Arabidopsis thaliana: one gene and its partners. Each later gene encodes a partner of the first gene's protein in a complex. Each region holds a gene or a part of one and is shown on either strand. Other genes may lie near its edges. The genes, in order: EMB2795, SMC2, AT3G57060 and SMC3.

Region 1 (6,086 bases):
ATGGGAAAGTGATTGTCTAGAAGTAATAGCAAAATTGTATATCTTTGCTATTGAGTACATAGATTTTACTTAATTGATTGCTTTAAAGGGTTTATTAATAACTCCATTTTATGTATGGTCTTGCAGTTAAAATTGGTAGACCAGGGTACCGGGTTACAAAACAGTATGATCCCGAGCTGCAACAAAGATCTCTTCTGTTCCAGGTAAGCATCTAATTGTTATTGTTGAACTTCAATGATCATCATTAGAGACTTAGCCAGAGTAAAATCTCACTGTGTCTGTTTACTCCTCAAACAATGTTTTACAGATTGAATATCCTGAGATAGAGGACAACATAAAGCCAAGACATCGTTTCATGTCATCTTATGAGCAGGTGAGTGTTACAACTCCTTGTCTATGTATCTCATAAACTCTTTCTTTTCCTTCATACTGAATAGTTTTCTTCCTTTTTTTTTGTGTGCAGAAAGTTCAACCTTATGACAAGAGCTATCAATACCTTCTATTTGCAGCCGAACCATATGAAATCATAGCTTTCAAGGTATGTGTTTTTTTTTTCTTTTATTCGTGACATTTACATTCTACAAGTCATCTGGGATTATAGCTCTAGTAGCCCAACATATCTTGGTCGAATTGTTTACTGATATTGATGGTTGTGTTTTCGCATTGGTTTCAGGTTCCTAGCACAGAGGTTGATAAATCAACCCCAAAGTTTTTCTCTCACTGGGATCCAGACTCCAAGATGTTTACAGTAAGTGCTTCTCATCATAATTCTCATAAAGCCATAAGCTTAGTTTCTTTTCCGAGATTGGATAAGTTTTGTGTTTGGATTAATCAAAATACTGACAAAGAATGTAATAAAACAGCTGCAGGTGTATTTCAAGCCTACCAAGCCAGAACCAAACAAGCCTCAGTCAGCTGTTGGAGCAAATGGTCTTCCACCGCCACCACCACCCCCGCCTCATCAAGCTCAACCGCCACCACCACCTCCATCTGGTTTATTCCCACCGCCACCACCTCCAATGGCTAACAATGGTTTTAGGCCCATGCCACCAGCTGGAGGTTTCGGACATCCTAACATGTGAAAGAGAATCCAGCGAAGCAGTTTAAAAACACAGTACTCTGATCATGGTTTACTAAGAGAGACTTGCTCTTTGACTGAAAAACAAATCTGTTTTGACATGGATTCTCAAAGCTGTGATCTCTACGGATGTATTAGCTCTCTAGATACCTTCTTTGAGTTTCTTCTATCTGCTTCTCGTATGTACCATTTTGACAAGATTGTTTTCCGTTAATAGTACAATTAGCGTTGGCGAAACAAAATTCATTTGTTATATATCGGTTAACTCTTAACCAAGTCTTAACCCAATCTATCAGTCCTATGACCGGCCATGGATATTTCATATTTAAATTATTTCTAACGATGATCAAAGTGGAGTATACCACGTCACTCACCTTTCGACGGGGGTAATCATGTATTTACACATTCTCATCAGTGTCTCTGAAATTCAAAAGGGTAAAGAAGAGGGAAAATCAAAATATTAAAATCCCTAATTCCCAAATTATTTTGAATTTTCTCGGATCCACAAAGCTCCGGTGAACCCAACAAACGCATTTTCTCTCATTGAGTTTATACAAGCGGAGAAGTTCTGTCATGGATGAATCCTTAACTCCAAACCCTAAGCAAAAGCCAGCTTCAACGACGACTCGAATCCAGGCTCCGACGAGTCCCTTCTTCTTGGGATCTAACGATGACAGATTGGAACGGGAACAAGCTCGAGCCGCAAGAGCCGCTGCTAGCCGTCGTAGGTCTGTCATTTTCGCTCGTGGGTCTCAGCCTGAGACGGAGTCTGATCCTTGTTTCGACAAACAGCAAATTCTCGAGTTGTTTCAGAACTGTATCAAATTAGCCAGTGAAAACGTAAGCAACTACTTTCTTCTGTCTTTTTTTCCCCCATAATTATAGCAAGTGAAAAAGGAAAATTCGTGGCTAAAAGTCCTTGTCTTTGACCTTGGTCTTGGGTAAATATGCTTCTGATGAGATTTACAAGTAGCTTTTTAATCACTATAATCTTTGTTTAGCTTTGCAATTTAATTTATGTTATGTGGGTTTTGTGTTAAACAGAAAATCAATCAAAAGAATACATGGGAGTTGAATTTGATCGACCATCTTTGTGAGATTATCAAAGTTGAAGATGAGAACAATACAGAAACAAATTTTCAAAAGGTAAGCTTTCGATTTCATTCTTCTTTGGCTTTTTTAAAATGCTGTTAAGACGTTTGAGAATACACAAAAACATAAAACTGAAAGGAAAAACAAGAGTTCAGAATCATATTTAAGACATATGTGTTCGTCCAAGTCAGGCAAGTTGCACTCTTGAAGCTGGAGTTAAGATTTACTCAATGCGGGTAGACTCTGTTCATTCAGAGGCATACAAGGTCTTGGGTGGAATTACCCGAGCTGGCCATGATGACGGTGGAGGTTAGATTAATAACCTTACACACAAGAAACTATCTTATCTTTAGTACTTGGTTATAACTGTCAGGGTAAACTTCAACAGACAACATGTAGCTTTATCTATTTGTGGAGATATTTATTCACTCATTTTTGTTAATATGGTTTGCCAAACTAGTCTTGAAACTCATTAGGTAAACAGATGAATACTTTTCTTATTGTTTTGACTTCTACACGAGAATTTAAAATCTCTGAAGAGGGCTATGCAATGCATTGAATTTCTTTCTTTAGCTCTAATTTCTAACGTAGGTACTAAAGTAAAAAAAGTTCTTATATTCTTTTCTGATATTTCTTTCATGAACTAGATCACGAGGATGCTGCTGGTGCCGTAGAAAATGCAACTAACCAAAAGAAGCAGCCAGAGAAAAAGGTAGTTCATACACAAAATCTAATTCTGGATTTAATAGATGAGACTATTTACTGATGTGTTTCGAACTTTCAGATATCGCCTTTATCAACACTGGAACCTTCCTTTGATGCCCTTAACGTGAAGAAATTTGATGGTATTTGCTTAACTTAACGTAACTCCCTTTGTTCGTTTGTGAAAGTAAGTTATGTACGACAATAATTTATCTTTCTTTTTTCTTTCCAGTGGCATTTGCAGTGGATCCCCTTTATCATCAGACTTCAGCACAGTTTGATGAAGGTGGAGCAAAGGGCCTGCTGCTAAACAATTTAGGAGTCTATGGAGGGTGTCAAGTTCTATTTGATTCACAAGAAATCCCTGGAAAGCTTGTTTCGTCTGCAAATAAGCATGACAAATCAGAAACAATTGATCTATCCTTTGTTAAAGGTCTGGCTTTACTGGCTGATATGCCTCGCTCTACCATTGTACATGTTTTATTGCATTATGCTTTCTCTGATGTTGTGGTTAAATTTGTAGAATGTGTGGAGCAAATGGTGCTAAACATGCGAAAGAAGGATGAGATTGTACCATCTCTTCGGGCTATAATCAATCAATTTGATGAAGAGAACCAAAGACCATCTGACACGTTTTCTTGTGGTCAGCAGACGACCGAGTCATTTGATATTTCACATGGTAATGATGCTAGCTATGCCGACGATGATGAAGGATATGAGAACTTTGGAACTTCTTTTGATTATGAGGGTCAATCCGGTGATGTTGATGAAAACTTTGGCCCCAATGAAGCAGAACCAATATATTCAAATTTTCATGAGGTTATTACCATCGCTCTTCTAATAATCTTTTTTCTTAATGAATTTTATTTGGTACTGAAAACCTAATGTTTTCACTTTGCAGGAAGTTGAACCAGCCTCCCTGCAAGACATGGATTCAGATGACAGACTGGAGAATGTTGATGACTATCTCTTTTTGTCGTTGGGAATTTCATCTAAGCAAAATTCTTGGGCAGGTCCTGATCACTGGAAGTATCGAAAAACAAAAGGTATGCGCTTATATCTCTGATTTCAAGAAATAACATAAGTCCTCTTAGTTTTCGATTTTCTTCTGAGGGTTTACATTCTCTGAACTCTTTTTGCAGGTCCAGATGTTCAACCTGCTTCAGAAATTAAATCCTCTCCACCAGCGAAGAAAACCAGGAAAAAGAAGCAAGCAGAGCCTGAACTAGATTTTGCAAAAGCTTTGGAGGAAGAAATGCCTGATATTTTTGCCCCTCCAAAAAACCCAAAGACTTTACTTCTCCCAGCAAGTAGAACCCCTTGTCAAACGAAGCTTCCAGAGGATTGCCATTATCAACCTGAGAATCTAATAAAGCTATTTCTACTACCGAATGTGATGGTATGGCTTGCCAAACACAGACCAAGTCACTAGTTTGCTATTATTTCTGTGTTTTTTTATCTTTTCTTTTCCATTTTGTGTCATCTTTTCTGAATTTACTCTCCTGAATGATAACAGTGCCTTGGGAGGAGGAGAAGAAAAAACTCAGGTAACACTTCCAGTCATTAAGAAAATCATCACTTGTTGGTATCCGTGGCGGTTTATGAGGCGTATAACAGTGTCTTTGTTTTCTTTACTGATATTAAATTTCCGTAACAAAGGAAATGGTTTCAACAATTTACCACTAAATCTGTATTGGGTTTCTGAAAAAAAAATATTTATGTTACACTTGTTTTGTTATGTGCATATTCCAGGTGAAACTTCAAGACAGCAGCCTGATGATTATGAACATGGGGAATCCTGGGGAAATGATAATGTTTATGATGATGATGATGGCCCATTCGATGATAATGAAAATGATCAAAGTGATGCAGAGGATACCAACACATTAATCTCTCAGCCACGCCAGGTATGATAGATTGATCTGCATATGGTTACAGCATTACAAATCATTTTAAAAGGCTGTAGCTATCTATCTTAGGAATGAAACATTGTTGTAATTATCCTACACAACTCATGCTTTAGGTCAACAAAATTGATGTCCAATACGATAAAGCTTCAAAACAAGTTGATGTGCAAGTGCTAAAGGAAACTCTTTGGGAGTGTCTTCAGGAATCTCATCAACCTCCAATTCAGGTTAACCAATATACTCTGATTATCTCTCTTATGATTTACATGACTCATTCGTGTACTTCACATCAGCCAAGTTTTGTCAACATACAATCTAGAATTCCACACACATACATTCCTGTTTAGTGCAGTGCACCTTTTTCTTATGGTTCCATGCCGAAACTAACCCAAGGATGGCTTTTCCTTCTTTTCTGCCCATTACTGTGATGATATTAACAGAATCTGATTGTGCAGGATGAGGAACATCAACAAGAACCACCTGAAAGTAGATCTTTCAAAGTGCTATTGGCTAGCTTCCCAGATGATTGCCAAGCAGCCGAGAGAACCCAAGACATCTCACCACATCTATGTTTCATCTGCTTGCTGCATTTGGCGAACGAGCACAATCTCAGCCTCATTGGTTCTCAAAACTTGGATGATCTAACAATACACCTTGCCTGAAAGAAAAGTGAAGATAGACCAAAAGGAGAAGCCGAGTGTTTAGAGAGTGCCTTTGTGCTCATCACTATGCCTAATAAGTATGTTGTAGTTCAATGTAATGACTTGATTGTGTTGTAACTTTGTTCAAAATCCACTAATCCTTTGTTGTTTTGGTTACATGTTTTCATTCCATCTGATTGATTTATCTCCATCAGAAAACTTAAATACAATAGTATGAATCAAATTCACAGATACACTGAAACTTTTCTTTCGTGTGATAAGAAATCAAAACCTTTGGTGTGTCCTTAAGCAACCTCAGTGCCGCTTTTGGATTTAACAGTTGACTTGGTGGCTCCATCTTTGTATCCTTTCTGACGAGCTCTCTGTTCCCACATAGAAGTCAGCTTCTTCTGCTCCACAAGTGCTTTCTCCGCCTTCTCTCTTGCTTCTTCACAAGTCTCCATACCCGAGTTACACTTATCTGCCTCCTTTTGGTAAGATGATGTTATCTTCTTGGCCTCTAGCAGACCCGTGTCTACTCGTTTGTGTTTCTCCATCGATGCTGCTTCACGCTGCTTCAGTTCCTCTGTTAAAAGTTCAGCGTAGTTCTTCTCTGTGTCTTCGTTCACCTCTGGATCACGCTTTGCACAATCTGCGCATCAAAAG
Region 2 (7,863 bases), on another chromosome or scaffold:
TTTTGACTCGGAAGCTCGTGAACTCTGCGAATCCGGTCACGAGTAAGGTGTATTAATAAAAGCTCTTTTGGATTGGTAGTGATAATGGCTTTACGAATAAATGAGCTTTATTTAGAATTTGATCCAAAAATTTGATATCAGATTTAAGACAGAAGATGGAGAAGACGACAAATTCTTGAGTTTAACGATGTTGAGATTGAACAAAAGAGCAAGAATGGTCAAAAACGGTGGGCCTTGAGGGTAAGTTTGACATTTACGATGGGGATTATCCGGTTTGGCCATTTCCATGCCATTTCAAATATAAACTAATAAAAGTTTACTAAAGCTTATTGTATTAGCAATTAAATATTACTAGTGAATAGTATTTTCATTACTGGCGAGATAAGTTGGTTTGAAAATTTCTTTATTCGACGTATAAATTGGTTTTATCTATGATAACCAGCCCGGTTCGATGAACAGATGAGGCGGATATTGAAGATAACCGTGTGTTTAGTGGGGAAATGACGAATTTGACCTTGAAGCGTGTGAGGTATTACGTCGACAAGAGAATCTTTCGGTGGGATTACAACCGGGTAAAAGATGGCACGTGGGGCCTGGTTACTCCCACGTGAGCCACACCAAACAAATCTTACGTTATTTTGAATGTGTTTTATCACGAAGACAAAAAATGCCAAGAGAATCGAAACAAACAAAAAAAACATAAATAGAAAGCAAAGATCTATTGAAAATTACATCAGAATCATTGTAAAACATTAATAGAAAGCCAAAACCTATTGAAAATTACATCATAATCATTGTAATTTAACATTCACATGATCCCATCATAATCAAAACAAAGTAGGTTCAATGAAAACAACGAAAATTTGTCACCAAAGTTAAGTAGGAGTGAGAAAAATGGTTTCCTCGTTCATTTGATTACAAAGATAACCATAGAAACTTACCATACTCGTAACAAAACCAACTATACCAAAACTAACCAAACCCCTAAACCGCTTCTTCTTCATCTTCTCGGTTCTTCTCATCGCCAACTTCTCTTCTAATGAATTCGCATCTTGATATTCTGCATGTAACGATTCAACCAACGAGCGAACCAAAGTGGTCTCATCTACACCACCACCACTTTCCAAACTCTGCAAGTCCAGTTGGTTGATTGGACCGGTCTTTTCCTTGAAAGCCTCTTCAAGTTCGGTTAACCTCTTAGCCATGAAACGAAGTTTCAACATCTCTTCTTCGTCTTCATCGTCCTTAACCGACGATATCTCCGCACATAAAAGGGTTTGCGTGAAAACAAACCGGGTTCCGAATTCCCGGTATGCGTTAAGATCACCATTGCCAGAACCGAATTCTTGTAGGTAATACTCAAGTTCTTCGAGTTTCTTCCCCAAGATTGTGTTTGCTTTCGCCTTCGTCGTCTTCATCCTTTTCTTAAACAATTATTTCTCCCATTTTCGAAAGGTTTTAAACTCTTAAAAATAACTTCTCGTAGTCGATCGGATGGCGACGGTTAATGTGAAGCTACACGTATCATAAATATAACTGTCCAAGGCCAAGGTTACGTGGCCTATAGAAATTAGATCCTATAGTTTTGCTCCCTCGACGATATCGATATCCGTTGTGTGGATCTGCGCCATGCATGTCGAACATGATATATGTGCATTAACAAACATAGCACCATTCATTAGTCATATTCAAACAAGGAATGAACCATTAATTTGTGGGTGTGAAGCAGAGTGGGATATCGTTGTTAACATATGAAGTATACATGTATAAAATTGTACAGAATGTATTTGATACCATCAAACCTTCTGAATGGTGTGGAAGGTTTCAGAACTGTTCCCAAAGTTCACTTTCCCGCTCCTTGTGTTCCCAAATCGAAATGCCCTTGTTTTCAAAATCCCAAATCGACTCCTAATTATCTTCAACTAAAAAACCAAAATTGACTTCAGATTCGCCTTCTTCTTCTCTTGCAACGTTTCAATTTCATGTGCCTTCGACCTTAGATTCCAATTTTGAATTCGAATTTCTGGGGTTTCGATTGAGCTCTTCTCGCTTTTTTCTAGGGTTTTGTCGCATATGCTGCGAGTGTGAGTGGAAATTTGGGGGAAGAAGAAGAAGGAAGATGCATATAAAGGAGATATGCTTGGAGGGTTTTAAATCATACGCGACGAGGACGGTGGTTTCTGGTTTCGATCCACATTTCAACGCGATAACGGGTCTGAATGGTTCGGGAAAATCCAACATCCTCGATTCCATCTGTTTCGTTCTGGGTATCACCAATCTTCAGCAAGTTCGAGCTGCTAATCTTCAGGAACTCGTCTATAAGCAAGGCCAAGCTGGGATTACTAAGGCGACTGTCTCGGTTACCTTTGACAATTCCGAGAGACACAGAAGCCCTCTCGGCTACGAAGAACATCCAGAGATTACTGTGACTAGACAAGTATGTTCTTTGTTTCTCTTTTGTTGTACTCATCAATTCATGTGCTTGACAAAATTTGAGACTTTAACTTGGAATTGTGTATCTTTTGGTGTTAAAAAGATTGTAGTTGGTGGAAGGAACAAGTATTTGATAAATGGGAAGCTAGCACAACCAAGTCAAGTTCAGAATCTATTTCACTCGGTGCAGCTTAATGTCAACAATCCACACTTTCTCATCATGCAAGGGCGTATCACCAAAGTTTTGAATATGAAGCCTCCGGAGATATTGTCCATGCTTGAAGAAGCTGCTGGAACAAGGATGTATGAAAACAAGAAAGAGGCTGCATTGAAAACGCTTGAAAAAAAGCAGACCAAGGTTGATGAGATTAATAAGCTTCTTGATCATGAAATATTGCCGGCTCTCGAGAAGTTGAGGAAAGAAAAATCACAGTACATGCAGTGGGCTAATGGTAACGCGGAGCTAGATCGACTAAGGAGATTCTGTATTGCCTTTGAATATGTTCAAGCGGAGAAGATTAGAGACAATGCTGTTCTTGGAGTTGGAGAAATGAAGGCGAAGCTCGGGAAGATTGACGCGGAAACAGAAAAGACACAGGAAGAAATACAGGAATTTGAGAAACAGATAAAAGCTCTGACTCAGGCAAAGGAAGCCAGTATGGGGGGAGAAGTAAAAACTCTGTCAGAAAAAGTGGATTCACTGGCTCAAGAAATGACACGTGAGTCATCTAAACTTAATAACAAGGAGGACACCCTTCTGGGAGAAAAAGAGAATGTTGAAAAGGTTAGAGACTGAAGAAAATTATTTCTGTTGCCAGAATGTTATAGATTCTCAGCTATTTCTGGCGTAAATAACTTCCTACTTGGTGTTGACAGATTGTTCACAGTATAGAAGATTTAAAGAAATCCGTAAAGGAGAGAGCCGCTGCTGTGAAGAAGTCTGAGGAAGGAGCGGCAGACCTAAAACAAAGATTCCAGGAACTCTCCACCACATTGGAAGAGTGTGAAAAGGAACACCAGGTAGTACCACTAAAAAAGTATCTCTATTCCATGCCAAATAATATCCATTCGTTTTATGTTAATTGGCTTTATGTCCTTTGATTATTAGGGCGTACTAGCTGGTAAGAGTAGTGGAGATGAAGAGAAATGCTTAGAAGATCAACTACGGGATGCAAAGATTGCTGTTGGAACAGCTGGAACAGAGTTGAAACAGCTAAAAACCAAAATAGAACACTGTGAAAAGGAGCTAAAGGAGAGAAAGTCTCAGTTAATGTCAAAACTTGAAGAAGCCATTGAAGTGGAGAATGAACTTGGAGCTAGGAAAAATGATGTGGAACATGTAAAAAAGGCACTTGAATCTATTCCTTATAACGAGGGTCAAATGGAAGCTTTGGAGAAGGTTAGCATGGTCACTTTAGTTGATTTTGTCTTTTTCTACAGAAAGTATACTTCTCTGACTGAAATATATATTTAGGACCGTGGAGCCGAACTTGAAGTTGTGCAGAGGCTGGAAGATAAAGTGCGTGGCTTATCAGCTCAATTAGCAAATTTTCAGTTTACATACAGCGATCCTGTGAGGAACTTTGACCGATCTAAGGTGAAAGGTGTGGTCGCAAAACTAATAAAAGTAAAAGATAGGTCCTCAATGACAGCGTTGGAGGTAGACTGGATATCTTATCATTTCACAATAAACACTGTTGGGATTTCAATTGCCTGAAGTCACTTTGCTTCTTGTTTCCAGGTTACTGCTGGTGGCAAGTTGTATGATGTTGTTGTAGACTCAGAAGATACTGGAAAACAGCTCCTTCAAAACGGTGCTCTTAGGAGAAGAGTTACAATTATACCTCTGAACAAAATCCAATCTTACGTTGTTCAGCCTAGAGTGCAGCAAGCGACTGCTAGATTGGTATGTGGATCTTTTGTTTGGTCCATTTAGATTTAATCTCTTTGTTTTCATTTTCATTGCTAATTTTTTATTATATATTTTCAGGTTGGAAAGGATAATGCAGAACTGGCACTTTCCTTAGTCGGTTATAGTGATGAATTAAAGGTACACGCCTGCACAGAGTAACATGAATCTGATATATAATCCTCTATTTTTCAAGTTTTCAAGAATACATAATAAATTTCAAGTTCAAGCTCATATTTGTGTGAATCATGGTATTTTGCAGAATGCCATGGAATATGTTTTTGGCTCCACTTTTGTTTGCAAAACTACTGATGTAGCAAAGGAAGTAAGTATTTCCTAAGCATTTAGTATTATATGTGGGCAGGGCCTTCAGTTTTTCTTTCTTGTGAGATGATGTCAGCTTATATATAAATCTTTACGTGGAATATGTGGTGTGTACATTTTTTTAATTGCCTAAGCTTGTTTTTAGTAACTCTTGACGGATAATCTATTCTAAAGTTTATCACTTTTGTTGGGGTTATAACTTATAAGTGCAACATATACCTTGAGTTTATTCCCACTGTCTTAGCTACTATTTGATAGTTTTGATTTATTGCTTTTGCCTCTAGAGTTCAGTCTTTGATGTGCCCCTCATTGCTTCTTCTGCAGGTTGCTTTTAATCGGGATATTCGGACTCCAAGTGTCACACTTGAAGGTGACATTTTCCAGCCAAGTGGTCTTCTTACTGGTGGGAGTCGCAAGTATGTCTTTCTTTCTTGGACGCTTATATCTCTAGTGAGAGTCATCTCCTTATAAAAGTATTTTGGTCTTTTTTTTTTCCTTTGCCTTAGGGGTGGAGGTGATCGCCTTAGGAAACTTCATGACCTGGCAGAAGCTGAATCAGAATTACAAGGACACCAAAAAAGGTTGGCTGACGTTGAATCACAGGTAAACCCCTATTCTTCCGTGATAAGTCTAAATACAACTTGGAATTGAACAGGTGCTAGCCATATTTTGAAATTACTAAGAAAATGATAAGGCAGTAGCTTAGTAATGGTCTCTGATTGCTCTCTCTAGACTCCTCATGTCACACAGTTATAAAGTACTTTCAGTATTTTAAACGTAAACTGCTGATTTATCTTGACATGACAGATCAAAGAGCTTCAGCCTCTTCAAATGAAATTCACAGATGTTTATGCACAGTTGGAGCTGAAGACGTATGACTTGTCCTTATTTTTGAAGAGGGCTGAACAAAATGAGCATCACAAGGTTATATCTCCATCTTCTATCTATATCTTTCAAGCTAAATTATCTGCGTCGTTGGTTTTTTTGTGGTACTTGAATCACATACATTTATACTTTCCATCACCTGTTGTATACACAGCTTGGCGAAGCTGTAAAAAAACTTGAAGAAGAGCTTGAAGAAGCGAAATCCCAAATCAAAGAGAAGGAACTTGCTTATAAAAATTGTTTTGATGCTGTTTCCAAACTAGAGAATTCCATCAAAGACCATGACAAAAACAGAGAAGGAAGACTTAAGGACTTGGAAAAAAATATTAAAACCATCAAAGCTCAAATGCAGGCAGCTTCCAAAGATTTAAAGGTATTTTATATTTTTTGGTCAGTTACTTCCATGCCATTGAACTTCTTGAATCCATTTTTCTTTTCCTTATCCTGGGTTATCCAGTTTTATCATGGAAGCATTGCCTTCTTTTGAATTTGCTGTAACGTTGTCTCTGGTTCGTCATGCGCATAGAGTCATGAAAATGAAAAAGAGAAGCTTGTGATGGAGGAAGAAGCAATGAAGCAAGAACAATCGTCCTTGGAGAGCCACTTAACTTCATTGGAAACCCAAATCAGCACTCTGACTTCGGAAGTAGACGAGCAGCGAGCCAAGGTGCTGTAGTTTTGCTACTCTTGGTGAAGTTTGTTGAAAATAAAGAAATATATCATGTTAATATATGATTCCCCTGCAGGTTGATGCCTTACAGAAGATTCATGATGAGTCTCTTGCCGAGCTCAAGTTGATACATGCAAAGATGAAGGAATGTGATACACAGATAAGTGGTTTTGTCACTGACCAGGAAAAGTGTCTGCAGAAGCTTAGTGACATGAAGCTTGAGAGAAAGAAATTGGAAAATGAGGTACTTTCTGTTTCTGTTCTATTCCTGTTTCTAGGTTTTGCAAAGCTACAAGCCATGCTTGTTTCTTCCTCACTACCAATCTGATTTATGCTGTTCTTGCACTTCGTATAAAAATCTTTCGTATTCACTAATCTTGCCTATTAAGAGTTTCTGCCTTGGATTTCTTTAAAATTTTGAAAGTTCAGTAATTGCGTTAAAGTTCAAACGTCTCAATGGGTAACATACAGCTGTTGGGGATGGTGAGTGAATTAGTAATTGCATAGAAAATTAAGACTTTCTTGTAACGTGATTTTGATATAAAATTGGAAAAGTTCAGTAGTTTCTGAAATTTCTGCATGTCAAGGAATATACTTTTCGTGACAACTGTCTCTTCCAATTTATTTATAGGTCGTAAGGATGGAAACGGATCACAAGGACTGTTCCGTGAAAGTAGACAAACTTGTTGAGAAGCATACATGGATAGCATCTGAAAAGCAACTTTTTGGGAAAGGAGGGACAGATTATGATTTTGAATCTTGTGATCCGTATGTGGCCAGAGAAAAACTTGAAAAGCTCCAATCAGATCAATCAGGGTATGTGTATGAGAATTAACGTTTTATCTTTATGAAACCTATATTATATTGTCGTCACATCATTGAAGTGAAATATCAATATGACATGCATTCTTCTTCTTTTCCTGGTTATTTATTTCCCTCATGAAGCTTGGAAAAAAGAGTGAACAAGAAGGTTATGGCTATGTTTGAGAAAGCAGAAGATGAATACAATGCTCTGATATCGAAAAAAAATACTATCGAGGTTAGTTACAGAGGACAGAGGGCCTTTGCAATGTATTTCAATAGCTTCGTGTGCCATCATAACACAATTTTTTCGGTTTTTTTCCTAGAATGACAAATCAAAAATCACGAAAGTGATCGAGGAGCTTGATGAGAAGAAAAAAGAAACCCTGAAAGTTACTTGGGTTAAAGTTAACCAGTGAGTGTCTTTCTAATCTCCAACAAAGAGTTTGTCTTTGCTCTTAGGCTCATGATCTCATTCCTCAATGTCTGAAAAGATAATATGATATTAGCCTTTGTTAAATCCTTCTTTTTTATTAGGGATTTCGGATCAATCTTTTCAACTCTACTACCTGGCACCATGGCAAAACTAGAACCTCCTGAAGACGGTAACTTCCTTGATGGTCTTGAGGTGCGTGTTGCCTTTGGAAAAGTCTGGAAGCAGTCTTTATCAGAACTCAGTGGAGGGCAAAGATCTCTTCTTGCGCTATCACTAATATTGGCATTGCTTCTCTTCAAACCGGCTCCTCTTTATATATTAGATGAGGTACATCTCTGCTTTTCAATTTCAGATTTCTCAGTTTCCAATTGATATTTCAAATTATCATAGAAGATCTATAGGGTT
Region 3 (7,999 bases), on another chromosome or scaffold:
CCACGAGAGAAAGTATGGTGCTTTGCTGTTACATTTTTTGTTTTTAATGAATTTGCTGTTACATTTTTGCATTATGTTAATGTATTTGAATCACGTATTATTATGTTATACGGTTTAGAAAAAGAACAGCTAATTGGACCACATCTTAATTAAAAATAACACTAATTGGACTACACATAAACAACATGGGAAGAAGTTGAATTGCACAAGGCAAAAACTCCTTGAAGATTCTTTATTATTTTTGGTACTTTGTTCTTTGTCTTTTACTCTTTTCAATAAGGGAAGAGGAAAGATTCGAAATTCAGAACCTAACACTACAAAGACTAAATATGATATAAGGAAGATATGCATAAGACAAAAAGCTAATATAAGAGGAAAGCTCAATAGTTTTAGAGGTGGATCTTGACAGATAAAAATGTTTGGTTCTTCATTGAATATTTGAATGTAATAGATTTCTTTGACGCCAATGAGCTAAATATATACAAAGTAAATTCAAAGGGAAAAATCATTTTCTCTTGTGTGATCTTCCAAGCAGAAGAGGCTAAAAAAGATTTCTTGAAATTGATAGAAACTCAATTGTTTCAGCAACATTTTTTCACAAGTATGAGGTCACATATGTTCTGGAATTCTACAAACTATATACTATACACATATACTGCTGCTCTGCTCTCTCTCTACCTCTCTCTGTCTGTCAAAATGTTTCATAGTTAAGAACCTTGCCAGCGTACCAACAGAAGATATGATAGAACCTTACTTGTGTACTCTGCGCATTTACTGCTGTAAAAGCCCTTCCTGAATTCAGAAAGGCCTGAATGCAAAACAATGACTAGTAAGCTAAGGAGAAAAACTAAAACAAAAGGTAATCTTCAGGATTATAAAACATGCTTCCAGGAATGTTTTGGTACTGAAGCTAAGAAGGTATTATCACCTATGAACTGTTTTCCAGACAATCACTTAAGCATATGGATCATATCATCAATGCTGATGTACTTATGTAGAGAGGAGATAAATTATCTGAGCATGTGAATGATCCTGAGGATACTTGTATCGACACAAAAACCAGCTACTATGAGAGATAAACTCAAGCAGCTGAGCAAAAGGAAACGAGCATTATATGCATCCCAGAGTTGCTGATCAGAACAAATACAACCAAATTGGAGTTGAGAAATCTCGATTTTTGTTCATGGGCCATTAACAAGCATCATTAACATAACAACATCCATGCGAATCCATAAGATATGTATAGTTTCATATACGAAGCCGAACTTTAGTTACACATACACACACTGAGTGACTGAGACATATATCAATCACTTCCACCAAAAATTGTTCCCTTTTCGACCAAAATGATCTATCTTTATCCTCTATAAACTCAAACTATTATCAATTTCAGAGTTTGTAGGGAAATTTGAAGCGACTCTAATCTAAAACAACAGAGCAAAACAAAAAAAAACGTAAAATTTGGGGAAGAGAAGAACATATACGCACAGAAGGAGAGCTAAGGATCTCGAATTCAATCATCCGACGTGGAAAGGACCAATATCTCCGTTTCTCAGAGAACCAGCGATCTCATCAGCGATAGCCACGCAAGTGAAAACCCAACCACTCAGAGAAAACCAAACCATTCTCATCAGATACATCGCCATGCCCAGCGGCATCGCCATCTCAAAGCTTTTCTGCTTCTTTCTCTCTCTTTCGTCAGATCAAATGATTGGCCGGCGAAGCCATTAGAGTGGCCAAAAGCTTGGGGAAAAAAAAATCAAAGATGATTCGGTAGGTTCAAGGATCTTCCAACCATTTAGATTCGGCCACGTCTTCGTCGTATTTATTCACCAGCCGACGGAGACTCATAATTAAATTCGAGGGCCCACATGAAGATAAAATAATTAGGATCCGACCCGGTTTTGTATCCGGAACCCGACCCGATAGGATGATCCATGGATTCCCGCTCCGTTGCCTTTTTCGATTTCATTTTGAAATTGAAATTCCCCAAAAGGTAGATTCTTCTTTCTCTCTCTCTCCTCTGAGCAACGTCTCTCTCTCTCTCTAGAAAAAATGGCTCCTCCCTTTGTATTCCCTCAAATTCTACGAGCCCTAGAAGAAGATCCGGAGGATAATCACCGTTTGTTCGCTCAGAATCCCGTCGATGTAACCTCTCTTCGCCCTTCCGATCTGGAAGAATTCGTCAAAGGTAAATTGTCTTTGTCTCTCCACTGTATGAGCGTATCTGAGATGCAATTGCGAGAGGGTTTAGATTTGCTTTGCAATCCCAATTTGGGAGGAAAATTGCATTATGTATGTTGATAGTGTCCTTAGTCACCTGAGTCGTCAGGTAGGTTTAGTGGGAATTCGTGTCTACAAGCGAAGCTGAACAATATGAAATTGATTAAATTTAAGTCGAGAGAAATTTCATTTAGTGCGTTTCTGGAGTCAAATTTCTTCTATGACTCTTGTGATTGATATGTGAGGCATTTTGTTTACTTTCGTCTCGTGGAACAGGTGTATCCTTTGACCTTTCTGATAGAGAACTCTTTTGTGTCGAGGATCAAGATGTATTTGATCGTGTCTACTCTTTGGTCAGGAGCTTCTTTAGTCTTCCTCCATCTTGCAAGTGTAATCTTGTAGAAAGCCTTCGGTCCAATCTAAGCGTTCTTCTTCCCAATGTCGATTCGATATCCCGGTCTGTCCAAGATCAGGAGGATGATGTTCCAATCATTGATAGGATCACATCACATCGCAATGCCTTGAAGATATACACTTTCTTTCTCCTCACTGTTGTTATGAATGAGGAATCACACATCAGCTCAGTCGAGACTACAAAGGTGTTCTCTCTTTTTCCAGCTGATAATACAGAATAAAATTCATCTCTTGTTGTCGAATTTACGGTAGTGATGTTGTGGATGAACAGGTTGCAGCACGAGGGAGGAAAAAGCAAATCATCCAGTCATGGAACTGGGAACCTCAGAGGGGTAGGATGCTCAATTTGATCGCAAATTCTCTTGAAATCAACCTATCCTTGCTCTTTGGATCATCAGACCTAGACGAAAACTACCTGTCTTTCATTGTCAAGTAATTTCCGTGACCTAATGAATCTTGTTTCTTTCATAGTCCATGCTATAGATACATTCTCACAACATTTTCATATCATTTCCTTGTAGAAACTCGTTCACTCTTTTTGAAAATGCCACAATCTTAAAAGATGCCGAGACAAAAGATGCACTGTGCCGAATCATCGGAGCATCTGCTACAAAATACCACTACATTGTGCAGTCATGTGCCTCAATCATGCACTTGATACACAAGTATGATTTTGCTGTTGTACACATTGCTGATGCAGTTGCTAGAGCTGAAAGCAAGTATTCAGATGGTACGTTGGCAGTGACAATCATTAGAGATATTGGGAGGACTGACCCAAAGGCCTACGTTAAAGATACTGCTGGGGCTGATAATGTGGGACGTTTCCTGGTCGAGCTTGCTGATCGTTTGCCAAAATTAATGTCGACAAATGTTGGAGTTCTGGTCCCTCATTTTGGTGGTGAATCATACAAGATAAGAAACGCACTAGTTGGTGTTCTTGGGAAATTAGTTGCAAAAGCATTTAATGATGTCGAGGGAGATATGAGTTCCAAGTCCCTTCGTCTGCGAACTAAGCAAGCTATGTTGGAAATTTTGCTCGAACGCTGTAGAGATGTTTCAGCCTATACAAGGAGCCGTGTTCTTCAAGTGTGGGCTGAACTCTGTGAAGAGCATTCTGTTTCAATTGGCCTATGGAATGAAGTTGCATCACTATCTGCTGGAAGACTGGAAGATAAGAGTGCAATTGTTAGAAAATCCGCATTGAATTTACTGATCATGATGTTGCAACATAACCCCTTTGGTCCACAGCTGCGGATAGCTTCATTTGAAGCAACCCTGGAGCAGTATAAAAGAAAACTGAACGAACTTGAACCTACTGAGCATGCATCAAAAGAGTCAACTTCAGATGGTGAATCCTGTAATGGAGATGGTGAAATCGATGACTTGCATCTTGAAACTACAACTAAGATTCATCAAGATAGTCTATCTGATAGCTGTCAGCCAGAGAATGGAGAAGAAATCAGTGAGAAGGATGTTTCTGTTCCAGATATTGGTAACGTTGAGCAAACCAAGGCTTTGATTGCTTCCCTAGAGGCTGGATTGAGGTTCTCGAAGTGCATGTCAGCCAGTATGCCAATCCTCGTTCAATTAATGGCTTCATCTTCTGCCACTGATGTTGAGAATGCTATTCTTTTGCTGATGAGGTGTAAGCAGTTCCAAATTGACGGTGCAGAAGCTTGTCTCCGTAAAATTCTGCCTCTGGTATGGTCGCTTATCATGTATCAAACTCATAAGAATACATTCTTCTGACATTTTTCAGTTAGCATCCTCTTAATACATTGTGCTAAAAACCTTGTTTATTGTTGTCTTTGCAGGCCTTTTCTCAGGATAAGTCTATCTATGAGGCAGTAGAGAATGCCTTCATCTCAATCTACATAAGGAAAAATCCAGTTGACACGGCGAAACAGCTGTTGAACCTTGCCATAGATTCGAATATAGGAGATCAGGCAGCACTAGAGTTTATTGTTAATGCTTTAGTGTCAAAAGGTGAAATATCTAGCAGCACGGTAGGTTCCTTCTGTGACTCCAGCGTATGAGTATGCTATGAATTATGGTCACTTGATACGTGTAGTCTGCTTATGCACAGTCAAGAACAACTAAAAATAATGAGCGTTTGATTATTGATTAAATTTCTCGAGCGAAAAGGATTTTCACCTGCTAGAGGCTAATAAGTGCTTCTATCATTTTTCTGTTTGTAGACATCAGCTCTATGGGACTTCTTTTGCTTTAACATCAATGGGACAACTGCTGAGCAAAGTCGTGGGGCTCTATCTATCCTTTGCATGGCTGCAAAGTCGTCCCCTAGGATTCTTGGATCACACATACAGGATATTATTGATATTGGGTTTGGCCGTTGGGCAAAAGTGGAACCTCTACTTGCCAGAACTGCATGTACTGTTATTCAGCGGTTCTCCGAGGAAGATAGGAAAAAGTTATTGCTCAGCAGTGGCAGCCGATTGTTTGGTATTCTTGAAAGCTTGATCACTGGGAACTGGCTTCCAGAAAATATATATTATGCAACTGCTGATAAAGCCATAAGTGCCATATACATGATCCACCCAACTCCAGAAACATTGGCTTCTACTATTATTAAAAAGTCCCTGAGCACTGTGTTTGACGTAGTTGAACAAGAGGAAGCACAGACTGATACCGAAAATAATAAAGTTGATATTTTGACTCCAGTTCAAGTGGCTAAACTCAGTAGATTTTTGTTCGCTGTCAGTCACATTGCCATGAACCAGTTGGTGTATATAGAATCCTGTATCCAGAAGATCCGGAGACAGAAGACTAAAAAGGACAAACCGGCTGCTGAAAGTCAGAACACAGAAGAAAACCTTGAGGCCACCCAAGAGGTACAGACCAATTTCGTAGAGCGCAGCTGGTGGCACAAATTTTACAACCCTAAAGGGTTATTTTTGCTGAATAATGCAAAGTTTTCTTTGTTTTGTAGAACAATGGCATAAATGCTGAGCTAGGACTTGCTGCCTCTGATGATGCACTGCTTGATACACTCGCTGAAAGAGCAGAGAGGGAAATTGTTTCTGGGGGTTCTGTTGAGAAGAATCTGATTGGGGAGTGTGCAACTTTTCTCTCTAAGCTTTGCAGAAATTTTTCTCTGCTGCAAAAGGTAGTTAGTTTTCTATTCATTCATTCTGTTTCATGGCGTGTGATGAAGTTAAAAGCCTTCTTTTGCTCTCACATTTATTTTGGATATACATGATAAAATGAAACTTGTCTTTTCATTCGTACAGCATCCTGAACTACAAGCTTCCGCAATGCTTGCATTATGCAGGTTTATGATTATTGATGCAAGTTTCTGGTGAGATTAAATCATTATCATATAGTCTATTTATCCTTTACAAAACTGAATTTATAGTTAAATTGATGCATTAAACTCAATGTATGCCAGCGAATCCAATCTTCAGCTTCTCTTCACAGTTGTTGAAAATGCACCGTCTGAAGTTGTACGATCGAATTGCACCCTTTCCCTTGGAGACTTGGCTGTTCGTTTTCCAAATCTTTTAGAACCTTGGACAGAAAATATGTATGCCAGGTTACGGGATGCTTCAGTTTCTGTCAGGAAAAATGCTGTCCTGGTCCTCTCACATCTTATATTGAATGATATGATGAAGGTTGGACTCCTTACCTCTCTCCTTGCTCTCTTTAAATATCTGCAATTATAGTTGGAGGTTTCATTTTGTGAATCCTGATTTCAGGTGAAAGGTTATATATATGAAATGGCTATATGTATAGAAGATGATGTGGAGAGGATCTCTAGTCTCGCAAAACTATTTTTCCATGAACTGTCTAAGAAAGGTCAGTTGCAATAGCTGCTTTACATGACATAGCAACTTCCACCTTTGAATCAAATTTAACACTTAAGTTTATTTTCTGCCAAACAAATCCAGGATCGAATCCCATATACAATCTACTTCCTGATATACTTGGGCAGTTATCCAACCGGAATTTAGAGAGGGAGTCATTCTGTAATGTCATGCAATTCTTGATCGGCTCCATCAAAAAGGTATACAGCTTTTCAATATTGAAGTTAGTATGACCTGTATTTATTCTTATCTAATCACTCATCTGCATCCTCATCAATCTCCAGGACAAACAGATGGAGGCTCTAGTTGAGAAGCTTTGCAATAGGTTTAGCGGAGTCACAGGTATGCTTGTATTGATGATATATCCTTACACCTGTTTTGGGTTTAATAAGAAGTATATCCCTTTGACATCTACACCTAAACTTGCAGATGGAAAACAGTGGGAATACATTTCGTATTCTCTTTCGCTGCTGACATTCACAGAAAAGGGAATCAAAAAGCTTATTGAGTCATTCAAGTCTTACGAGCACGCTTTAGCAGAGGATTTGGTGACCGAGAACTTTAGAAGCATAATCAATAAGGTCTGGTTTCTCTGGTTTTCGTCACCCTAGTCATTTTTAATGCTATATGTTAGTTTGACATCTGGTTGTGAATCTGAACAGGGAAAGAAGTTTGCGAAGCCAGAACTGAAAGCGTGTATCGAAGAGTTTGAAGAGAAGATCAACAAGTTCCACATGGAGAAGAAAGAACAAGAAGAAACCGCAAGAAATGCCGAGGTTCATAGAGAGAAAACCAAGACCATGGAATCCCTTGCTGTCCTCAGCAAAGTGAAAGAAGAACCTGTAGAAGAATATGATGAAGGTGAAGGTTAGTAATTTTTTGACTCTTGGCTAAAGCAAAGTTCACTGTACCAGACTTACGATAGTCAAATGCCAGTTAACGGCAAGCTTTTCAAAATGGACTGTTTTTTGTATTCTCAGGTGTTTCAGATAGTGAAATTGTGGATCCATCAATGGAAGAATCAGGCGATAATTTAGTTGAAACTGAGTCAGAGGAAGAGCCATCTGACTCGGAGGAAGAGCCAGATTCTGCACAATGTGGTACGGCCATTCCTCGTTATTTAAACCAAAAGACTAGTGGCGATAATTTGATTGAAACTGAGCCCGAGGAAGAGCAATCTGACTCGGAGCCAGATTCTGCACAATGTGGTACGACCAATCCTCGTTCCTTAAACCGAAAGACTAGTGGCGATAATTTGATTGAAACTGAGTCCGAGGAAGAGCAATCTGACTCAGAGGAAGAGCCATCTGACTCGGAGGAAGAGCCAGATTCTGCACAATGTGGTACGACCAATCCTCGTTCCTTAAACCAAAAGACTAGTGGCGGTATGTGAAAACTTCAATATGTATTTCAAAAATCTCACACAACTTAAGCTACATTTTAGAAATTGTTATATACCGTTAAGTAAAGTTGTGAGGTTTTCAGGGGAAGAAGGCGAATCAGAAAGCAAGAGTACAGAGTCATCGAGCAGCATCAGG
Region 4 (4,905 bases), on another chromosome or scaffold:
TCAGGGTCAATGGCTATATGAAATTATTTTTGTCTATAGTTTGAGTAATCATATGTATAGTGTATAATGGATGATTTAATAGAGAGATTGGTTTTGTCATTTTATATATCCATCAATATATTGCAACTTCAGAGGAAAAGAAAATAGTTAAAAACCACATTTATTCTAGGTGTCTCTCATATTTGACCAGTTTCTCATCTCTCATCAATTTTCACTTGTGGACGCATGTTAGTTAATTGAAAATAAAAAGACAAAATTTATATGTAAATGCAGTATACTGTATACTGAATATAGTAATTATGTTTTTAGTTACTACTCCTTATGTTTCACAAAAAGTATCATTTTACAATTTTTAACACAAATTAAAAAAACATCTAAAAATTTCTTTTACCTATTGTAATACACTTTTTATTTTTAATTAATAATTGAAAAAACAGAAATAAAACAGATATTTGATTTTAAAAACGGCATCGAAAACACAAAACAACAATCTTTGTTAAACAAAACAAAAAAATCTTAAAACGATATTTTTTGTGAAACAGATGAAGTATTTTAAATTAAAAATTGTAAATTAAAGTTTATAGTTTTTTTTACTATCATTTATAAGAAAATATGTTTGATAAAACATTAACTACTATGTAACATAAGTAAAACCGTACCCTACAAAAAAAAAACATAAGTAAAAGCGCATATAAAGATGCTACTATCTTAACTTTAAAACATCACAACCAAAACGATCAGCAAATACGTTCCATATTTTTTTGTTAAAATATTAAAATTTTTAAAGAAAATGAAGACAATTTTTGTCTTTTTAACTCTTGCAGTTTTGGTTTCATCATGTAAGTTCTCATTCTTGTTCAATTAAAAATATATATATATATATATATATATATATATATTATAGTTTAAATTTTAATTTAATAAGTTTTCAAAAAACTATTTTTACGTGCATCAAATATTATGATAAAATCTATTTCAGAAGGAAAATCTCAGTTTTCCGGCCCTGCATTAAGCCCTAATATTGATCCAGCAGACGAACATATTGGACACTCTCCCGAAGACATGAAAATTATTTTTTGCCAACAATGTGCATTTCATTGTATTGAGAAAAAGAAGAATATAGCTCATTGTGAAAATTCTATTTGTCGTTGTACATTGGAAGACATTTTGTAAGACATTATATTTTTAGAATAATATAAGAAATAATCATTGTGACTGATTTTCTACCTTTACAGCCTCCTTTCAATTTTTAATAAAAATTAATAATATAGAATTGAAAATACATTGAGTTATACATTTTTACATATATTTAAACGACTATATACACTGAATCTTTATAACAAAGAAAAAAAAATCAAAATTGTAATTTTTGTTTGTATCTTCTATATGTATTAAGTGTTACATGTGTTATTTATAAAATGTTTGTGAAGGTTATCACATAAAATTTACTCATCATCTCATGGTTTGCTTTTTTAGAAGAGAATTTAATTTTAGAAATAGAATATAAAATCATAAGTCATATATTTCTTTTTTTGAATATAAACAATCCGAAAAAATACCTAGAAACTATCTTGTTTGTTTTGATTATAAACAATTATATATATATATATATATATATTTATTTAGTCTAAATTTTACGATGTTTACTAATTGCATAACAACCGTTAAATTAGAGGATTGAATCTATCAAAAATTTAAAGACAAAATATTATAATAAAAAGTTTAATTAAATGAGGTATTTTTTATCAATAAAAAACAAAGTAACAATTAAACGTCCAATTAAAAATGAAATATTTTTTTGGTTTTTTCCTACGTCGGTAACTAATAACGTCACAAAGTTGATGGTATTTGAAAGAATTAGCGGCAATTTATTCCCCCCATAAATTTTCATTTGTGACCTAAAATTAACTTTCCCTTTCTCTCTCCGTGCCTCTTCCCATTCTCTTTCAATCTTGTTTGAATCTCCCTCGATTTTCATTTCTCTTTCAATTTCAAAATTCGCACCTCCTCCTCCAAAGTTGTTGAAATCAGATTTTGTTGACCGGAGAGTAGTTATTTATGGAGGAAGATGAGCCAATGGGCGGCGGCGAGTCTGAGCCTGAGCAGAGGAAATCTGGAACTCCGAGACTTTACATAAAAGAGCTTGTCATGAGAAACTTCAAATCATATGCTGGTGAACAACGCGTCGGTCCTTTCCACAAGGTTAGGATTTTACGCTGATTAGATTTGGGTTTTCTCGAATTTGAGCTTCTATGTCAATTACAGTATAGTTTTCGAATTTCTCGCTTTTGAATTGCCCTTGCGAATTTCAGTTTTTTTTTCAATTTGAAGATGAATTTGAGCATATTTTTCGGATTTCTGTTTTTGGCTAGTTTGAATTGCTCTTGCGAATTACAAGATTTTCATTTGAATCTATTGATTCGGAAAATTAGATTTACTGAATTGTTGAAAATTCAGAGTTTTTCTGCGGTGGTTGGACCTAATGGGAGTGGAAAGAGCAATGTGATAGATGCAATGCTCTTTGTATTTGGGAAACGAGCCAAGCAGGTACTTGATTTACTCTTGTGTTTTCTTTTAGTCACTGAACTTTGTTTGAGTAACTCTTATGTTTATTTGGTGTTAGATGCGGCTGAACAAAGTTTCAGAGCTAATTCACAACTCAACTAATCACCAGAACTTGGATAGTGCTGGAGTTTCTGTACAGTTTGAAGAGATTATCGATTTGGTAAAACTTGTTGTCTGCTTACCTATTATTAGACTTTGGTTAAGCTTTCTAGTAATGTGAATTGTTTATTTTTAACTAACTCAGGAAAATGGATTGTACGAAACTGTTCCTGGAAGCGATTTCATGATTACTCGGGTTGCATTCCGAGATAATTCTTCCAAGTATTATATCAATGAGAGGTCGAGCAATTTCACTGAAGTTACCAAAAAACTCAAGGGGAAAGGAGTAGATCTTGACAACAACCGTTTCTTGATTCTTCAGGTTCTCACTTTACAGAAACAGCTTGTTGAATTAACTTGTTTCCCCCTCTAATATTGTTTCTTGAACGTTGACAGGGGGAGGTAGAACAAATATCACTCATGAAGCCGAAAGCACAAGGTCCCCATGATGAAGGTTTTCTTGAATACCTCGAGGATATAATTGGAACGAATAAATATGTGGAGAAGATAGATGAATTAAATAAGCAGTGAGTAATCTATGCATTTGTACTGTTTCTTTTAGACGTAAGTGGTTCCTGATTTGTTGGATGCTATTAATATAACTGCAACTGCCTCTGAAATTTAAGGCTTGAAACCCTCAATGAAAGCCGGTCTGGAGTTGTGCAAATGGTGAAATTAGCGGAGAAAGAAAGAGACAACTTAGAGGTTTGTTGACGTTTTTCCTTCTTGTATGTGACCCGGTTTTGTTGTATATGTTGCTGATGTGCTTTTGGAACAGGGTTTGAAGGATGAGGCAGAGACTTACATGCTGAAAGAGTTATCACATCTTAAATGGCAAGAAAAGGCTACAAAAATGGCATATGAAGATACTGTAGCGAAAATTACTGAACAGAGAGACAGCTTGCAGAATTTGGAAAATAGTCTAAAAGATGAGCGGTAAGCACTACTAATTTTTCTTTAAAATATCAAAGAAATTATATAAACTCATTTGTAACAAATATCGTAACATTTCTGTTACAGAGTGAAAATGGATGAGAGTAATGAAGAGTTAAAAAAATTTGAGTCTGTGCATGAAAAACATAAGAAGAGACAAGAGGTATGTCTGAAATCAATAAGATGTGTCTGCTCTCATGCTTATTGCCGACGAGGCTAAATTCATTTTTCTCTCTCCTAACTTTCAACAAATGGTGAATCACCTTATCTTCCTTTGCAATGATTAGGTTCTTGATAATGAACTTAGAGCCTGTAAGGAGAAATTCAAAGAGTTTGAAAGGCAGGACGTAAAGCATAGGGAGGACTTGAAGCATGTGAAGCAAAAAATCAAGAAACTCGAGGATAAACTTGAGAAGGTTAATAGTTTTGGAAGGATGGTTGACTTTTTTATGGCGTGCATATACCTTACCTGTGTTCTTATGCAGGATTCATCCAAAATCGGTGATATGACAAAGGAGTCTGAGGACTCAAGCAATCTAATACCGAAACTTCAGGAAAACATACCAAAGCTTCAGAAGGTCTTGCTAGATGAGGAGAAGAAATTGGAGGAAATCAAAGCGATAGCTAAAGGTGTGTTATGCTTTAGGATATTAGTCCCCAAATAATGATGTCCTTGTTACCCTGGCAGCTTCTTTAACAACATCACAGTGAAAAGTACTTGGAATTGGCAACTTCTTAAACATGCTAGTACCCATCTATAACGATTAGCTTCTTGCTCAAGAGTAAGCTTGTTCAGTTAATAATTTCTGTCAATTTTGTTACAGTTGAAACTGAAGGTTACCGGTCTGAGCTTACAAAAATTCGTGCTGAATTAGAACCTTGGGAAAAAGATCTAATTGTGCACAGGGGAAAGCTTGATGTTGCATCATCCGAAAGTGAACTCTTGAGCAAGAAGGTACATCTCATATAGTTATAACGATTTGCTTGGAGTCAAGAACTTTTGCTTGTCAAAATAACTTGGCTCGTCTTCAAAAGAATTTCTAGAGAGGTTTTTAATTAGCTTATCCCACTGCTTCTTTAAAGAATTCGTTTGCCATAGTCAAATCTTTATATGCTTCCTGGAGCTGCTTTCGCGCTGAATAATCCAAAATACTGTTGGACGACTAATTTTTTTGTTTCTGTTTGAACATTACCTCTTTGTTATTCTAGCATGAAGCTGCTCTGAAAGCCTTCACAGATGCTCAGAAACAGCTCTCTGATATATCAACGAGAAAAAAAGAAAAAGCTGCAGCAACTACCTCTTGGAAA

Evidence for each region.
Region 2: EMB2795 (region 1) and SMC2 share a complex: the UniProt entries of both Arabidopsis thaliana proteins name them as parts of the condensin complex.
Region 3: EMB2795 (region 1) and AT3G57060 share a complex: the UniProt entries of both Arabidopsis thaliana proteins name them as parts of the condensin complex.
Region 4: EMB2795 (region 1) and SMC3 share a complex: the UniProt entries of both Arabidopsis thaliana proteins name them as parts of the condensin complex.

The regions. Positions count from the first base shown.
Region 1 is NC_003071.7:13,828,775-13,834,860, reverse strand, and holds EMB2795 (condensin complex subunit), read left to right. Parts: upstream 1-1,518; 5' UTR 1,519-1,651; coding exon 1,652-1,918; intron 1,919-2,122; coding exon 2,123-2,224; intron 2,225-2,361; coding exon 2,362-2,479; intron 2,480-2,817; coding exon 2,818-2,882; intron 2,883-2,954; coding exon 2,955-3,015; intron 3,016-3,104; coding exon 3,105-3,305; intron 3,306-3,395; coding exon 3,396-3,691; intron 3,692-3,773; coding exon 3,774-3,918; intron 3,919-4,014; coding exon 4,015-4,271; intron 4,272-4,388; coding exon 4,389-4,419; intron 4,420-4,624; coding exon 4,625-4,779; intron 4,780-4,895; coding exon 4,896-5,006; intron 5,007-5,234; coding exon 5,235-5,441; 3' UTR 5,442-5,571; downstream 5,572-6,086. Other genes in the region: AT2G32600 (hydroxyproline-rich glycoprotein family protein), read left to right, coding at 127-203, 308-373, 464-538, 674-748, 864-1,082; AT2G32580 (transmembrane protein, putative (DUF1068)), read right to left, coding at 5,726-6,072. UniProt on the Arabidopsis thaliana protein: Regulatory subunit of the condensin complex, a complex required for conversion of interphase chromatin into mitotic-like condense chromosomes.
Region 2 is NC_003076.8:25,054,189-25,062,051, forward strand, and holds the start of SMC2 (structural maintenance of chromosomes 2), read left to right. Parts: upstream 1-1,836; 5' UTR 1,837-2,119; coding exon 2,120-2,437; intron 2,438-2,536; coding exon 2,537-3,217; intron 3,218-3,309; coding exon 3,310-3,453; intron 3,454-3,541; coding exon 3,542-3,832; intron 3,833-3,907; coding exon 3,908-4,093; intron 4,094-4,174; coding exon 4,175-4,339; intron 4,340-4,423; coding exon 4,424-4,483; intron 4,484-4,604; coding exon 4,605-4,667; intron 4,668-4,990; coding exon 4,991-5,082; intron 5,083-5,172; coding exon 5,173-5,269; intron 5,270-5,473; coding exon 5,474-5,590; intron 5,591-5,705; coding exon 5,706-5,924; intron 5,925-6,077; coding exon 6,078-6,218; intron 6,219-6,297; coding exon 6,298-6,465; intron 6,466-6,852; coding exon 6,853-7,037; intron 7,038-7,166; coding exon 7,167-7,260; intron 7,261-7,348; coding exon 7,349-7,437; intron 7,438-7,559; coding exon 7,560-7,785; intron 7,786-7,863. Other genes in the region: AT5G62400 (uncharacterized protein), read right to left, coding at 426-593, 942-1,418. UniProt on the Arabidopsis thaliana protein: Central component of the condensin complex, a complex required for conversion of interphase chromatin into mitotic-like condense chromosomes.
Region 3 is NC_003074.8:21,115,108-21,123,106, reverse strand, and holds the start of AT3G57060 (binding protein), read left to right. Parts: upstream 1-1,993; 5' UTR 1,994-2,055; coding exon 2,056-2,191; intron 2,192-2,499; coding exon 2,500-2,822; intron 2,823-2,908; coding exon 2,909-3,069; intron 3,070-3,158; coding exon 3,159-4,338; intron 4,339-4,451; coding exon 4,452-4,643; intron 4,644-4,835; coding exon 4,836-5,489; intron 5,490-5,587; coding exon 5,588-5,764; intron 5,765-5,888; coding exon 5,889-5,956; intron 5,957-6,046; coding exon 6,047-6,269; intron 6,270-6,353; coding exon 6,354-6,453; intron 6,454-6,545; coding exon 6,546-6,661; intron 6,662-6,745; coding exon 6,746-6,803; intron 6,804-6,890; coding exon 6,891-7,042; intron 7,043-7,123; coding exon 7,124-7,328; intron 7,329-7,441; coding exon 7,442-7,846; intron 7,847-7,931; coding exon 7,932-7,999. Other genes in the region: AT3G57062 (uncharacterized protein), read right to left, coding at 1,518-1,664. UniProt on the Arabidopsis thaliana protein: Essential protein. Regulatory subunit of the condensin complex, a complex required for conversion of interphase chromatin into mitotic-like condense chromosomes.
Region 4 is NC_003076.8:19,699,850-19,704,754, forward strand, and holds the start of SMC3 (structural maintenance of chromosome 3), read left to right. Parts: upstream 1-1,878; 5' UTR 1,879-2,058; coding exon 2,059-2,202; intron 2,203-2,457; coding exon 2,458-2,547; intron 2,548-2,623; coding exon 2,624-2,725; intron 2,726-2,809; coding exon 2,810-2,986; intron 2,987-3,060; coding exon 3,061-3,191; intron 3,192-3,290; coding exon 3,291-3,369; intron 3,370-3,442; coding exon 3,443-3,600; intron 3,601-3,684; coding exon 3,685-3,760; intron 3,761-3,884; coding exon 3,885-4,013; intron 4,014-4,082; coding exon 4,083-4,227; intron 4,228-4,421; coding exon 4,422-4,552; intron 4,553-4,806; coding exon 4,807-4,905. Other genes in the region: AT5G48595 (Defensin-like (DEFL) family protein), read left to right, coding at 791-839, 926-1,173. UniProt on the Arabidopsis thaliana protein: Central component of the condensin complex, a complex required for conversion of interphase chromatin into mitotic-like condense chromosomes.